3 linked regions of the Rhinolophus ferrumequinum genome follow. The protein of the gene in region 1 interacts with the protein of each later gene in a pairwise test. Links are inferred from orthologs where the notes say so. Each region holds a gene or a part of one and is shown in the gene's direction. Other genes may lie near its edges. The genes, in order: ADAMTSL4, LONRF1 and MAPKBP1.

Region 1 (5,060 bases):
AATCACAGGGATCTCGGGTGTCCCCAGCCAGTTTACCCACCTGCCTATGCACCTCTGAGCTTGATTGGAGAAGCCTGGAGAGCAAGCCTGGGCACTGGGACTCATTTGTCCGTTCTATAACATTCCAATTCAAATATTTCTTTTAATCCTACAAATCCACAAAAAAACAAAACACAAATGCAATCTATAAAAAGGGATTTACTGAGGAAACAAAATATGCACGTTAAACTTCAAATAAGGATCCAGTTCTTGCATTTTAAAAGGCTTTTATATTTTCACTTCCCTCATCTCTTAGAGATAACATTTGCTAATGTTGAGTCCAGTATTTATGTGCCCATGGCTGTCTGTCCCCAGCTAGATCTAGCTCCTCGAGGCCAGAGATTATCATCTAACTGTGGCCTCACCACCAAGTACCAAAGGTGCTCACTGTTAGTTGGGTGGGAGCATCTGAAACCCTGTTATTTTATGGGGATGCAGAACAACGTTGATTAGAACTTCTGTTTTTATGTCTTTATTTTTTAAAAATTTTATTGGGGAACAGTGTGTTTCTCCAGGGCCCATCAGCTCCTACTCGTCCTTCAATCTAGTTGTGGAGGGCGCAGCTCACTGGCCCATGTGGGAATCGAACCAGCAACCATGTTCAGAGCTCCTGCTCTAACCAACTGAGCCATCCGGCCACCCCTATGTCTTTAATTTTTAAAGAGAAGTTATACAATATCCTGGTTTTAAAATATTGACAAGTCACTGAACAAAACAAAAGCTTTGGAATACTGAGTAGATCCGAAAATACAGGACTGTGGCTCGTGAGTAAATGGCAGATAAAAATTTAAAAATAGTGACCATTTATTAGCTACTCTATGCCAGCCATTGTATATATATATATTATTTATTTTTAAACGTAACTAATAACACTTATGGTTACAAATTCAAACAACACATAAACATATAGTGTAAAGTGCGAAAGCCCGTTTTTTCCCTCCCCAACCCCACACCTCTCCTCAGCTGTGGCCACATAGTCTGAGTTTGGGGTGCATTCTTCCGAATATGAATGGATATAGACACATTTCCAAGCTTACTATATATGTATGTGTGTGTGTGTGTGTGTGTGTATATATATATATATATATATATATATATATATATATATATGTATATCTCAGATTAGCCCCATTTTACAGATGAGGAAACTGCAGCACAGAAGGGCCCCCAGAGTTGGCAGGTAAGTGCTCGAGCTGAGATTCAAATCCAGATCGTGACTGCTGAGTCAGCGCATCTGTCCCACTGCGCCCCGTGTATAACATTTTATGGGTGAAGAAACCGAGGCTCATCTAGAGGTCCCTGAGCCATCAGCAGCGCACGATGCACGACTCAAATTGGGAGAGACAGGGATGCCCGGGCTAGCGCGAGAGGCTGCGTGAAGGAGAGCGCCTTGACCCACGCGGGTCTGGGGTCGCGCGGGACCATGCCAGCCGGGTACGCAGCCCCCACCTGGAGCCTGGACTCGCCCGCGTCGCTCCGGGACAGGCGCCACCAAACTTTTTGGCCCGGCGTTCGCATCACCCACTCGGAGCCGATCCGGAGGCCGGGGTCCTGGGGTCCCGAACTCCAGTGGGCCCAGCACACGGGCCCAAGGGCAGTGCCCGGCAGACGGCTGCCGCCGAACCGGCTGGGACCGTCCCGGTTTCGCCCCCTCGAGCCATCGGTAGGCGCCCCGCACGCAGGGGTGACCAAGGCCCGCAGCCCCGGGTGGGTGGCCCTGGCGAGGAGGGTTTGGGGGTGGCCCGCCCCCACCCGGGGGCCGCGGAGGGGCGCTGGCTGGGCGCGTGGCGGGCGGGGCGGGGGCGGGGCGGGGGCGGAGCCGCGGCCGGAGGCGGCAGTGTCCCGAGCCGGGCTCAGGGGCCGCAGTGGCCGCCGCGGAGTCAGGCTGACTCGAGAGAGCGCCCGGGCGCAGAGGGGTTAACGGGCCGCCGGGGCCGCGCAGAGCAGGTACAGACCCTCCCTGGGACCCCCGGCCCCGGCGCCCTCTCTCCCGGGTCCCGTTAGGCCACCCGCCCCGCGCACCCGCGCCGCCCCCGCTCCTTGCGCCCCAGGTCGCGCCATAGCCACGACCCCGGCCCCAGCTCTTACAGCCTCGGAAGATCTTCCAGTCCCTGGGGTCAAATTCCTGGGGAGGGGGCTCTGATCCCGTGGAACTCTGTCCCTGTCATCTGGGATGAGAATCAGCCAAAATTCCTACTAAGTCACATAGTAAAGTTGGAAAACATACCTAGGACCTCCCCGCACGCGCCGGCGCCTCCTGCCCTCCCCTGGAGGATATGTGCCTCCACCCCCGTCGCTCCTAGAGTTGGGGGACAGGGGCGCTGAGAGGGCAACAGGTGGGTGCCGGTGATCCAGCTCAGCCTGATGAGCAGAAGGAAAGACACCTGTTGGGATGGTCCTCCGGGACCCAGGAGTGGAGGGCATAGTGAGGACCAAGGAGTCCTACCCAAGGCAGGGACTCTCCGCAGCAGCCAGCCAGAAACGTGTCGTCTAGCCCTTGCCCCAGCAGAGCCTCCTATTTCCCAGAGGTGGGTCCCTCTGGGGGTGAAGGGATTAGCCCTGCCCATGTCTCTCCTCCTTGATCTTCACTGGCCAGTGTGGAGGTGTGGCCAGGAGGAGCCCAGGTTTGTCCTGACCAGTGTCCAGCCTGGCACTGGTGACCACTTCTGACCTCCCCTTTCCTCACCCTGGGCAGTGAGAGACACCAGATAAGAGACATGAAAAGGGGTGAGAAGCACAAAATGTGTCCTGTTTCCACACTGGAGAGGGTGTCGGCCCCCTGCCTAGCTGTGCAGGGGGGCTGGGGTAGGACTTTTCCAGAGAGAGAGCCAGGCCTGGCCCAGGCCCCAGGAGCTCACGTCACCCCCACCCCCCACCCCTCACTTCTCCAGGGAACTGCCAAAGCCAAGCCCAGCTCAGGACAGGACTATGTGTACTGGGTAGACCCATGGAGAGACAGCAAGATACAGACCTGGGGAAGCAGCAAGGGCGTGGCGAGGGGACCCCGCAGCAGAGAAAGGGCCAGCAGTGATCCTCACCCCCTTCAACTTCAAGTGATTGAGCCAGGCAGAGAGTGGAAGGTTTGGGTGGAACTTTGGCCCTTCTCTGGAGCCCCTCCACCGCCCCCATCAGGGCGGGGTTGCTGACCTCAGTGGTCAGCCCAGCCAGGGGAAGGCGAAGCCATCAGCAACCCCCTCCCCAACCGCAAGCAGCTGGGGTGACCCTGTGGGTCAGGTTCAACCACTGTCCTCCTGCCCCGAAATTCCCAAGTCCTGGGGTCTCAGGGAGGGGAGTGGGGCTGAGTGTTGCTATCCCCACGCACATTCCTGCGCTTCCCTCTGTCATTTTCCGGCCCCTGGGCTGGCCCACCTCGGCACTGGCTCCCTGGACTCCTTTCCCGGGTGCCTTTCAGATCCAACAGAAACATTTTTTTTTTCCTGGAAAGCAGAACTAATGGATGAAAGTGGGGGTGGGAAGGGCTGGTATTGAGCAGGAGGGGCTGGAGGGTAAGGGGAAGCAGTGGGCAAATCGGGCTGTGAGACCAGGGGAGGGTTCCAAGTGCCACTTCTCTGACTGATCCACGCTAGACTTCAGGATGGACTTCTGGACTCTTCAGAATGCTAGGCCTGTGGTTGGGGAGCGATGGCAGCTCTAGCTGCATCTCTCCTTCCCAGGTACCCCCAGTCCATCATAGTGGCACCTGAAATAAGCCCTCGTTGAACCAAGGCTGGATGCTGGCTCCTAAAGGGAGGTTAAATCGCAGTGGGCAAATCACCTGCTTCTTTAGAGATTAAGCATCAGCCCACTTAGTTTATCCCTTGGCTAAAAAGTGATGGAAGCACTTTTGTGATGCCTGAGTGTTCCAGAGGAGCTTAGCTCAGGGAAGAAAAGGCTGAGAGGCAGCTAGGCAACAGAAAGCCCAAGGGGCTTCATGTCAGCTCCTTGAGGGGGCGAGGGGGCGTCTGGCATGTCCTCCCTGGAGCCTCCCTCTTCCTCCTCGCAGGTCCTCTGGGAGGGCAGGGCGGGAGTGGGGGCCAGATGAAAACCATCCTAAGAAAGATGCCCGTGCCTGAGCTGGCCTACCTGGATAAGGGAGAAGCTGAGAAGTCCCTACAGGGCCAAGGGGAGGAGACTAAGCTTGAGACTCCCACCCTTTCGCCTCAGCAGCTGGACAAGGGCCGCGTCCCTCTCACGCTCACCCTTAGGATCCTAAGGGGTGGGCCAGGCTTCCCCCACCCCACCCTCCTCATTCCGAGATGTCTTTCCTTCTGAGGAGTCACCCCTCCCAACCCCCAGCTTTCTGGAGACCAGGGGTAATCACCAGAGCACACGCCTACACGTCCAGATGCTGGAGTAGTGTGTTTACTTCTGGTCCCCTCCTCCCTTGCCCGGAGCAGTCAAGGAGAAGCGATGGAGAAGTTGGTGGACAGGTAAGAGGTGGGTTGCCGGAGTGAACGGATGGCTCTGACCCTGGAAGCGAGGGAAAGGAGATCACTGGGAGGGGCAGGGGTGGGAGGAAGTGATGAGTAACTTCTGCTTCCTGAGAAGTTGGCATCGGGATGTGGGGAGCCTGCGGGGGGTGAGGGGCCATGTGGCAACACCAGCTCTGGCTCCTGGCCGATGGCTGACGTCCGCATTTGGCCCTTCATTTGTAGGCCCCGGTTGTGTCTGATGCTGCTTCTGTCCCTCCCTCGGCTCTGCCTGGATCAGGAGGTGAGCCAGGGACCAGAGGCGGTGACCCTTTCACCTCCCCTGACCTCCCATCCTACTTGTCCAGGCCATGCCTCCATTTTCCACAGCCGCTGATGAGCCCTGGCCCCTCTCTCTCACACTTGGCCGTCCCCAGCCTCCCCTTCTCCCCAACCCCCTAACTCCTTGCCCAATAACATCAAGTCCAACCTCTGCTACTGCCTGTGACCTTGAGCTGGTGACAACCTCCCTGAGCCTTGAGCATTAGACTACAGTCTCTGTATGGCTTCCTCTAAAATCATTCTAATTTTGTCTGACCTTTTTGTCTACAT
Region 2 (5,060 bases), on another chromosome or scaffold:
GTACCTAAGGATACCTGTTGTACCACTTATGGTTTCAAGTCTCAGTGAGTATGTGGGCATCTGACTGAAGTCATTCTGCTTATTGAAGGAAGGTAGTAATTTAGGGGGTTAGAATTAGGTTCAAGATTATGCTCATGAATTAATCCCAATATTCCCCACCTCAAATGACTAGAAGTTGCTCCTTGGGTCTTAGCTGTAATTTGCTCGGGGTTTGACGTGAGTGATAAACTTGTTTGCCTCTGCACACTGTTTGGAACAAAAGCCTCAGCTTTTCCTCAGTTAGCTTTTTCCTTGTTCCTTTTGGGACAATATATCTCCATCTCCTCCGAAGTTACACAATTTGCTCATTGTGTAGTAAAAACACATGTAACTCAAAGCACTTTTGAGCGCAATTACCTGTTCTGTATAAAGATGGATATTAAACGTTGGCCGATTTCAGACATAGCATGCTCAGGCTAACATTCCATCTAGCAGCTTATTTTGAAAATCTCATGTAAAATAGTATTTCTAAGCTCTAACATGGTAACATAATAGTAGAATCAGAGTTAGGTGATCTTAAAACCTCTGTATAATATTAGCAATGTGATTTTGGGCAAATAACTTGCCCTCTCTGGGCCATTGTTTCTAACCATTCAAAAAATAACTAAAAGTTCTAAGTCACTTTCCAGCATTAACAATCTAGAACCCTATAATCAGATCTGTAAATATTTCAACTGAGAGCTTTAAACTCACTGCCATAAAGTTTAAAGAAAATATAGAAACGGATCTTTTTTTGTCAGCAGAACTGCAGATTCTGCTTGGGTTCTAGTTATACGGTGATAACTATGTGAAAAGCATTCATCCTGGTGTTTACTCTTCAAAAACGCCAAATATGGGTCTTTGCTAGCTGTAGGGCAGTGAATGAGATGTGGAGGGTAGAACTGACACCTCGGGAACGTGTGGGCTCTCTCCCTTGAGGTGGGGGTGAGTTTTAAACAGCAAAGAAAACAGTAACTTGGCACCACGGAATACTGTCTTGCCCTCTGGAAGGAGTCACCTCAGGAACGTGGGTGGGGTTATATTATTTCTCAAGTTGATCGACTCTAGACCTGAGGAGTCACAAAGTCATCAGACTGACTTTACGCATTCCTAGGCCCTCTACGTGTCTATCTGTAACTTGGGCATAAACTAATGAAAATGCAGATTTGTACCTGACAACCCTGACACTACAGCCGGAGGCTCTCACAAAGGGCGCGGGTCCCAACTCGGGTGGGCGGGGATTTAGGGCTTAGTCCCACGAGGCCAGCCTCTTGGCAGAAGACCGCCGAGGAAGCAGGCATTAGGGGAGAAGCCGTGGCAGGTGGGGGGCTTTCGGCTGCGAAGGGAGGGCGATGAAGGTCTGGGCTCCTTCGGGCTTTGTTCAGTTACAAGCCAGGCCCTTCTTTCGGGGGAAGCCAATTAGATCCCCGCTGGTGGATCATCTGACCTCCTGTCCCTCGCCAGGAGGGGCTTCGGGAGGGGCGGGGCCAGCCAGTCGGCCCCCTGGGGACCCGGCCGGCGGCGGTGCGGGGGAGTCGCGGGTGCTCTAGCGGAGCCCGGCCCCACCCCGCGCACGCCAGGCCCCGCCCCCGGGGCTTCCCGGGCGCGCGCCGCCCCGCCGTGTCCGCGCGCCACGCCCCCCTGCTCGCGGGCCGCGTGCGGAACCGCGCGTCGGGGAGACTCCGGGACCGTGGCGGCGGGCGGCGGCGGCAGAGCAGCCCTCTGCGGGCCATGTCTTCTCCGGCCGTTGCGAGGAGCTCCCCCGGAGGGAGCCGGGAGATGGCCCCCAGGCCGCGGAGCCGAGGCCGGTTCTGGGAATTGGGCGGCGGCAGCGGGGACCGGCTGGAGCGCGCGGCCGCGGAGTCGGAGTGCTGGGAGCTGCTACTCCGCCGCGGCGAGCTGCTGGCTTTGGGCGGCCACCTGAAGGGAGCGCTGGAGGCGTACGCGGCGGCGCTGCGCCGAGGGGCCCCGGTCAGGCCCGAGTGCCTGGGCACCCTGGTGGACTGCCTGGTGCTCAACTACCGGCTCCGCCATGGGCTGGGCTGGAGCGCGACCCCGGCAGCGGGCGCGGACTCCGGCGCCGGTGGGCTGCTCAGCTGCCTGGGCTGCCGGGACTTTCTGAGCGAGCCGGTGACCGTGCCATGTGGCCACAGCTACTGCCGCCGCTGCCTGCGGAGAGAGCTCCGCTCCCGCTGCCGCCTCTGCCGGGACCGGCTGCCACCCGCCGTCACCGCTGCCACTGATGCTGAGGGCACCGCTCCGCGGTCCCCGCCTCTGGCCACCGCCATCGCCACCTCTGGCTTCAGAACCAGCGTCGTCCTCAACCACCTGGCCGAGAAGTGGTTCCCGGGCCAGCGGGAGCGAGCCCGGGCGACCGGCCGGGTCGCAGAGCTGCTGCACCAGGGGCGCTACCGGGAGGCCCTGGCCGCCGCCTGCGAGGCGCTGCGAGCAGGTGACTGCGCGGGGATGCGGCGCGAGCCCGGCCGACCCCACCCTCCTGTCGGGATGGGATAGCTACCCAAGCTCGTCTGTGCCCCCGGGAGGTGTCTCTGCTTCCCCAAGGCTGCCTGACTCCCTTGTGTCGGGTCTCGGGCTCCTCGAGAGTATGGGAGGGGGCGGCGCCCTGGGGTGCTTCGGTCACAATGGGGATCGCCGTCGGAGCCGACTGTGACGCGGCGCGGGGAGGGGCGCACAGGCGCGGGGTTCCCTCGGACGCGGCCTTGCGGTCTGGCGGGCGCCTCCTGAGCGGAGTGGGGGCGAGGGCGCCGGAGCGCGGGATGGGTGGGAGTTGGGCGAGCCGGAGCGGCCGCTCGCTTCCTGCCGCGCTCTTTCCGGTAATTGGCCGCTCCGCAAACGACAGCCGGGGCGGAGAGAGAGGATCCTAGGCGGGCAACGTTTACCTTTGTCTCCCACAAAAGTCACTGGGGCAATTTGGAAGCCGCGGGAGGGCAGAATTGCATAAGCTGTGTGTGTATGGGGGGGGGTGCGTTGTGTAACGGGTGACGTCCGGTGGGCGTGGCGGGAGCTCGGCGCCCGCACCCAGCACCCGGGGGCCCCGCTGGCCACTCGGCTCTGGGCGGGTGTCCGAGCTGCCCAGGGGTGTTCAAGCCTTCCCTGAAAATGCCTGCGGAATTGGTTCCTCTTGATAGTTTCAACCTGCCTATTTGAAATCATACTTATTTCATCAACATATATGTGCTTTGTTTCGAATACACCTAATTCACGGTCCAAGATAAAGAGGTAGTCTCATCGAGTTCTTTGCCACGCTTCTGTTTGCCTTTCCACTCTTGATCAAGTTGTGGGGATAGGCCTTTAGATCTTTTGTCTATTTCTTCACCTCGGAGAAGCAGCTTCGGCCACCTAACCTAGCTTAGCACTTTTCTTAAGGTGGTTTTAGGCTGTGGAAGGGGACATTTCAGACTTACCTATGTAAAATGAAGAATTGTTATTTAAATCGGTTGTTCTCTGCCTGGGGGAGTTTACCCCCCAGGGGACATTATCTGGAACTGTATCTGGAGACATTTTTCATTGCCACCCCTTGTGGGATTGGTGCTGGTACATCCAGTGGGTGGAGGCCAGGGATGCTGTTAAACGTCCTGAAATGCACAGGACTGCCTCCCACACAATCGCCAGGCCCCAAATGTCAACAGTGTCATTGTTAAACCTTGTGTTAAATCAGCGTATTTCAAGCTTAGCATCTATGATGACTTGAAGTAATACTTGGAAAATAATCCCCAAGAAAATAGAAATCTAAAATGTCACGGTTGCTAGCTCCCGGATTGTGAAAGAATTCAAGAGGCACAAAGGAATAGAAGTTACAAAGTTTATTTAAAAAGAGAAACACTGGCAGAGGAGTTGCCAGGGCCAGAGTGTGGAGTAGACCGCTGCCCTGAGTTTCTGTTTAGCTGGGATTTTATACTTTTCTAACCAGGATGTAATTTGCTTGGGCCTGTAGTGGAATCTTCTATTGTGTTCAGCATTGCCTTTTGCCTATTGGGGTGGGGGGAGGTGTGGTTAAACTTGTTATCACAGTCTTTGTTGTGTAAACTTAAGTTAGAGCACCCCCTTAGCCCCCCCCCAGTCAAAAGACTACCCCCTAGGCTGGTTTCTGTTTACCCATACCTGTCTTATAAAATAGAAATTGATGTTAGATATTAGGTAAATTTATAAGCTATGTAACTGAAAGTATTTTTTTTATGGTTCTTTTACTCTAAGTGCTTATTAGACCTTTTTGCTTAGAATATATCAAGTTATTTAACACCTTTAGAGCTCAAAGCATAAACTTGGCATGTTTTCATATTCTTTCACTATTTTTATGGGGATGTTAAACCCAGAACAAAAAAGAACTATTTGGAATACAAAATTCTGATACAGACAACTCTGTGGCTTTGGCTGAACAGATTTTAAGAGGGGTGGTACAGACCATCAAGGCCATGGTCCTTATTTTGAAAGTGAAGAAGCAGGATCTAGGGCAGTGAAATGACTTGTCCAGAGCCCACAGCTAACTGGTTGTAGAGGGAACACTGTATTTTCCTTCCAGTTCTAAATGTTGGAGTACTCATCCTGCCTTTATAGCTCATCCAATGAAAATTTTTAATATAAATTTCCAAGGAAGATTTTTTTTTTTGGCATTAGTATAAAATAAAGGATGAAATTTATCAACAGCACTGTCTAGTATTATGATTAGTGATTTGACCTCTTAAAGTAGTTGCTTCATAAGAATTCAGGTCCTAATCCATGGTAGAAGAGTAAGCACATTTACTAATTAACATAAGGAAGATTCTGGGCCTTGGATTGAGGATACTATTTTTAACAGAAAAAAAGACTCTGTAAGATCTACTTTTTTTTCCCATTTCCATAGATGGCACATGGAAATTTTGCCCATTCAGCTACTTAATCCTATTTTTGCATGACTAGAACCCAAGCCTCCTGACTTTCATCTCATTAGCTGTTTTCCCCTCATTTTTAGGTCTTTGGAAAATCATTACTTCCATACGTGAAAATATGTCTGAATGGTACTAATGAGGATACTCTTTTTACAC
Region 3 (5,060 bases), on another chromosome or scaffold:
CTTATCTCATTACACTGTTCTCAGTTGCTCTTCACCTAAATCATCTTAGACAAAGCAGAAACTTGAATTTGCCTTTGCAGCTTCAGCTTCAGATGAGAGTAATTTGGGGAACATTTTCTCTAAGGGGACAAACTAGTATAGTGCTGGACAGGAAATGACCAATGACACTTTGTAAACCCATTTACCTGGCCAGGAGTGAGAAAACCACTAGTGGACACAAACAATCTGGAGCGAATTAGGGACAACTCCAAGATGGAGATGGCAGTTTCTGGGAATGCTGCACACGGGTAAGGACACCAGGTGGCACCATTTATTAGTGTTATGTTGGCTCCTACCCCTATTGAGATAAAAATCACAAACTAGCAAGTTGAAAGAGCCAACCCCCTATATCATACTGTGGTGCCTAATGGCTCTTGCCTCCTTCGTCCACATTTGGGAAATATGAAAATTCCACTTTTCGTTACATCTGCAGTGCATGGTTGAAGGAAAGGGGATACCTCATGCCACTGATAGCTATTGCTAGTCTTATATTTTTTGCTCCAAAAGACGTACTAGAGCTGATCGTCTGGCTAGGTCTTATTTTCGGGGAAACACGGTACAATACACACAAGCACAAAGCTGTTTGCCACTTGGCTGTACAAGACATGCACAGCAATGGGTTTAGGGGTCCTTCCCTCTTGCTAACATCCCCCAGGGGTTCCAAGGATCTAGGTAGGGTGAGACAGTTACATCGCTGTACTATTTCTCTGGGCCGCAGTGTTTTGGCTTAGGCTAACCTTTTCATAAGGTAATTTCTTGAAGTAGCGAAGAGGCAGAAAATCAGGCTTAGAAAATAAATTCTTAGGCTGTGACACCTGTGAAATAATACTGTAAACGCGCCCCCAACCCCCGTAAGCTAGAAAAACTATACCACTAAATCTAGTATCAGCAAGCTTGACAGTGACCTCGCTAAAATAGTACTAGGGAAAAGGTTTCACGAGTAAATTTTGACAGGAACAGGAAAAGATCTGGAGCAACAAAGTCCTGTTTAACTGGGTGAGAGAGCGCGGTGGGACATAAGAGACTAAAGAAACCAGGAAACAAATTGTCCCGTAGGCACATTCACTTGTCTTTGCTCTCCCCGATACGCCTAAAGCTCTATTCAAGGCAATCATCTCCCTCCCCTTCATTCCATCATGGCCAATCAGGTTGCCCAGTTAATAACACTTAGCAATCGAAAAAGTTACGCCAGAGAGTCATTTATACGTAGGTTAACGCGCTGCCGAACAACTATTCTAACCGCTTTAAGTCCCAGCACTTGGGGTCGATGGGAGCAGAGACTTATGGCTGTGTCTCAATCTTGTAATTCTGAGCTAGGAGTTAGTTTCAGCTCTGGTCCCTCGGGCCTATCAAATGCCAACTGTGGCACCCTGGGGGCGTGGTACTATCCTTGGGGCCCCGGGGAATGCAGTACTCTGGGGGGCCAGGTCTCATAATACCATAAAAGGCTTGGTTCTTTCAATTCTGAAGCCATGTTCTGTAGATCTTCCTTTAAGAGCGATACCCGCGACTACGTTGTGAGGAATCCGTGGTTTTCGAGTCCCAGGTCCTCAGCTTCCTAGGCGCTTCATTGGCTCCGCCCCCACAGACGTTATTCGTCCACTCTGGGAACGCCCTCCTCGCCTCGGCCCCGCCTACCCAGCCCGTAACTTGGCCCAGGCGGTAGTTCGCGTTTTGAGCCGCTGGTGCCACCATAGCTGCTGCTGCTGCTGTTGCTGCTGCGACTGTGGAGCTGAAATCGCCGAGCGCGATGCCTGAGGGCGCTGTGAGCGGCTCGGCCCTCGGGCCCCGGGGCTGGTGAGGCTGGGTCCGAACGGGGGCGCTGGCGAGTAGCAGGGGCTTCTGAGGGAGGTGAAAAAGAAAGGTGCAGGGCCCCTGTGGGGGGCCGACAGGGAGCTCCAGAGGGTCGTGGGTGGGGGAGGGAGGCTCCCGAGGCAGAGCGGGTTGCGGGGCCACAGCGAGCCCCGTCACGCCGAGTGTCCTCGCGGCCTCCAGCGCAGGTGCCCAGGCCCCCGGAGGGACTCGTCGGTGGCCTCCTTCCTTGGACATTGCAGTTGCCATGGGAGCACTTTGAAATTAACGGTGACCAGACCAGCCATTAGCCCTACTAGATCCCATCCATCCCTCCAGTTTAAACGCCTCTGGCCGGCATGGGCCTGTCATTTCTTTGCAGCTCAGAGTTTTTACCCCCCTTTTCACGGGTCTGTCCTTCAAACGTTGAAAGGAACCGCACAGGGCTTGAAGGTGGGGACGAGGAGAGGGGAAAGGGCAATACCTAGAGATAAGAGCTGCAGACACTGCTAGGCAGAAAGTAAGGTGGCCTCTACCATCCATCTCAGGTCAGTGAGAGGGCATACTGGAAGACCCTTTGGCGTGGAAAGGCAGTGCTGCTGTTGAGACAAGTCCCAAGATTGGGCCAGGTACTGTCATGGCTGTGGAAGGGTCAACCATTACCAGCCGCATCAAGAACCTGCTGCGATCCCCATCCATCAAATTACGCAGGAGTAAGGCAGGAAATCGCCGAGAGGACCTCAGCTCCAAGGTGAGTCCTGGTATGGGGAGCCACTTCTTTCCAATCCTCCCTTCCTCTGCTCCATGTTCCTCTTCTTCCTCTTTCTTGGGAAAGAGGAGTTCTAGAGGCTCCTGTTGGCTCCAAAGGATCAAGTGTGCCTATCTCTGCCTCTCGAGAAAGCAATGATGTCCTTTTAGGTTGAATGAAAAAGAGCAGCAGGGGTGGACATGCTAAGATTTATTCATGAAAAGAGGAACAGGAGAAAGGCAACCTGGATTCAATTGTGGCCTCATGACAAGCTAAGTCTGTGTTTGGGGAAGCTAGTCAATATGCTATGACTCAGTTTCCCTTCCTGGAAGAGGGTAATGGGACCACATGTTTTGTGAAGGACTAAGCTGTGACTAATGTAGCTGCAAGTGTTAGTGTCACAGCGAGGTTATGTAAGACAGTAGTAGCAGAAAGAAATACACTCAAACACTTAGTCTGAGAAATTGGCTTGGCAAATGCTCTTGCCTAGGGTCAAACAAATTTATTTGTCTCTTCAAGAGACGTAAATTAATTTAACTGGAGCTTCTTGGCTTCGTAGGAATGATAACATGCAAGGAGCTAAATACTTGCCTCAAAACAGTTTTCCGGGTTTGCCCTGAACGTTGCGTATCTCATTCTCTATGTGCTAAGAGTCACATCACACCAAGTTGCAGAAGTTCCTCGGAGGCCAAATCCCATTCCATCCCCTCAAGCTGTCTGGGTGTTGGTTTCTTCAACTTTGTTTTCTTCAACTTTGTTTCGCCCAGCATCTTTGGGAATACAAAAGTAGACTAAATTTATTTAATCCCTGAGGGAATCTAGGTCTTTGTTTTCCACAGGATCACGTTAGACTTTTGTGCGTTATTAGCAGCCAGAAAGCACAGTAGCCTTGCGTGGTACAGGATTGCTGTAGGGAGAGGCATTTGAGACAGCAGCATTTGATTGCCTTGCCTGTATCTCTTCAGAGATGAGTTAAGCCAATAAGGAATGACTCAGATGCTAATGTACAACATGGCCGGGTTCTGGAAGGACTTAATTCAGATGCCTGTCCCTTAGCAGAACTTTACTTGGATTTGGTCATAAGGTGAACAACTTTCCTGTATGTTTCATCAGAGGGCATATTAAATCGAAATCAGCCACGAGGATCCGTGGCAGTGGACATAGTGACTTTTCCAAGGACTCCTATTAATTAATCATTGCTCGTATTCTTCAGAGGCAAAAGAATGAGCCTGAAACTCAGAAATGTTCTTAGGTTTGACTCTGTTCACTCATTTGTCGTGTTGGGTCATTCTTAGTACGGCAAGCACTGGTATCCTTGACTGGTGACGTGGCAATGGCTATCACTACGTATTAGAGCAATCTTCTCATAGCTATGGCTTCTTTTTCCGACCCAGAATAGTATAGGTAGTATAAATGTATGATGGGAGTTTAGTCTTCAGTGCTAATCCTTAATGTAATTTTGGTCTGGGATTCAGAAGGTATGGCCACCATTCTTTAAAATTTCCCATGTCATTCATCATTAATTCATTCAACAAATGTTTATTGTGTGCCTATTATGTGTGGAGTCAGGGATGAATAAAACTATCTTTGCCATCAAGGAGCTTGTGGCTGGTCAAGCTTGTAGACAAATAATTACATGATGTGGTAAGTGCTGTCCTAGAAGTATGCAAAAGGTGTTAAAGGCAGCACAGGGGAGGGAACCCAAATCAGCTTTAGGGAATTAGGAAAGACTGCACGGAGGAAGGGATGCTTGAACTGTGAGTCCTGAGGCAAGAGGACAAGAGAGGAAGCTCTCCAGGAAAACAGTGAAAAAAGGCATCCCAGGCATCACCATTAAACAACCGTGTTTCAAATAGGAATTCAGTGCTTCAGATTCTTTAAATGGCTTTGTGTGTCCCAGAGCTGTGAATGAAGGAAATACTTAGCTAAAGTTGAATGACCCTTGAATAGTTTGACAGAGCAAGAGTACTGGTGCATATCTTTAGCACCCAAAAGTAGTAGCTGTCTTTGTGTGCCTAGGACCCTACAGATTCCTGCTTTTCCACACTCCTTCCTGAAGACTCTCTACCTAAGATGATTCTAAAAGCCTGCCTTACGGTAACCCACATAGGACTTGGTGTATAAGGCTTTGTCAGCTGCTCTAATATGTGGTGGCTGTAGGTAATCGTGGTAACTGTCAGAGAGCTTGTGATTCATGGACAACTAACTCTGAAATAAAATTTTAAGGCCAAAAGATCTATGCCTTTTGGGGGGGCAGGAGGGGCAAAGAAGAAGTGACAGAGGGCTTTTATGCAGCTCTTAACCTCAGATGGCCTGCTGCTTTGAATCATACTGTTCCTTCTGTCTAAAGTAGCCTTTTTACCAAATTCTCCACTTATTTTTAGATCCAACTCTATATTTATTGGAGCCACGGGGCCTTCTCTGACCAGCCCCACTACCTTGGAACCAATCTCTTAATTGTTTTTTTATGTATATCGTTATT

Evidence for each region.
Region 2: the proteins of ADAMTSL4 (region 1) and LONRF1 interact in binary tests that used the Homo sapiens proteins (3 or more experiments, as listed by UniProt). The two-hybrid records come from large-scale screens. The link is inferred for Rhinolophus ferrumequinum from reciprocal best matches to the Homo sapiens genes ADAMTSL4 and LONRF1.
Region 3: the proteins of ADAMTSL4 (region 1) and MAPKBP1 interact in binary tests that used the Homo sapiens proteins (3 or more experiments, as listed by UniProt). The two-hybrid records come from large-scale screens. The link is inferred for Rhinolophus ferrumequinum from reciprocal best matches to the Homo sapiens genes ADAMTSL4 and MAPKBP1.

Annotation. Positions count from the first base shown.
Region 1 is NC_046305.1:50,815,750-50,820,809, forward strand, and holds the start of ADAMTSL4 (ADAMTS-like protein 4), read left to right. Parts: upstream 1-1,881; 5' UTR 1,882-1,986; intron 1,987-4,312; exon of another isoform or gene 4,313-4,335; 5' UTR 4,336-4,449; coding exon 4,450-4,469; intron 4,470-4,694; coding exon 4,695-4,752; intron 4,753-5,060. UniProt on the Homo sapiens protein: Positive regulation of apoptosis. May facilitate FBN1 microfibril biogenesis.
Region 2 is NC_046287.1:69,225,104-69,230,163, reverse strand, and holds the start of LONRF1 (LON peptidase N-terminal domain and RING finger protein 1), read left to right. Parts: upstream 1-1,646; 5' UTR 1,647-1,749; coding exon 1,750-2,470; intron 2,471-5,060.
Region 3 is NC_046289.1:63,620,070-63,625,129, reverse strand, and holds the start of MAPKBP1 (mitogen-activated protein kinase-binding protein 1), read left to right. Parts: upstream 1-1,711; 5' UTR 1,712-1,836; intron 1,837-2,378; 5' UTR 2,379-2,467; coding exon 2,468-2,581; intron 2,582-5,060. UniProt on the Homo sapiens protein: Negative regulator of NOD2 function. It down-regulates NOD2-induced processes such as activation of NF-kappa-B signaling, IL8 secretion and antibacterial response. Involved in JNK signaling pathway.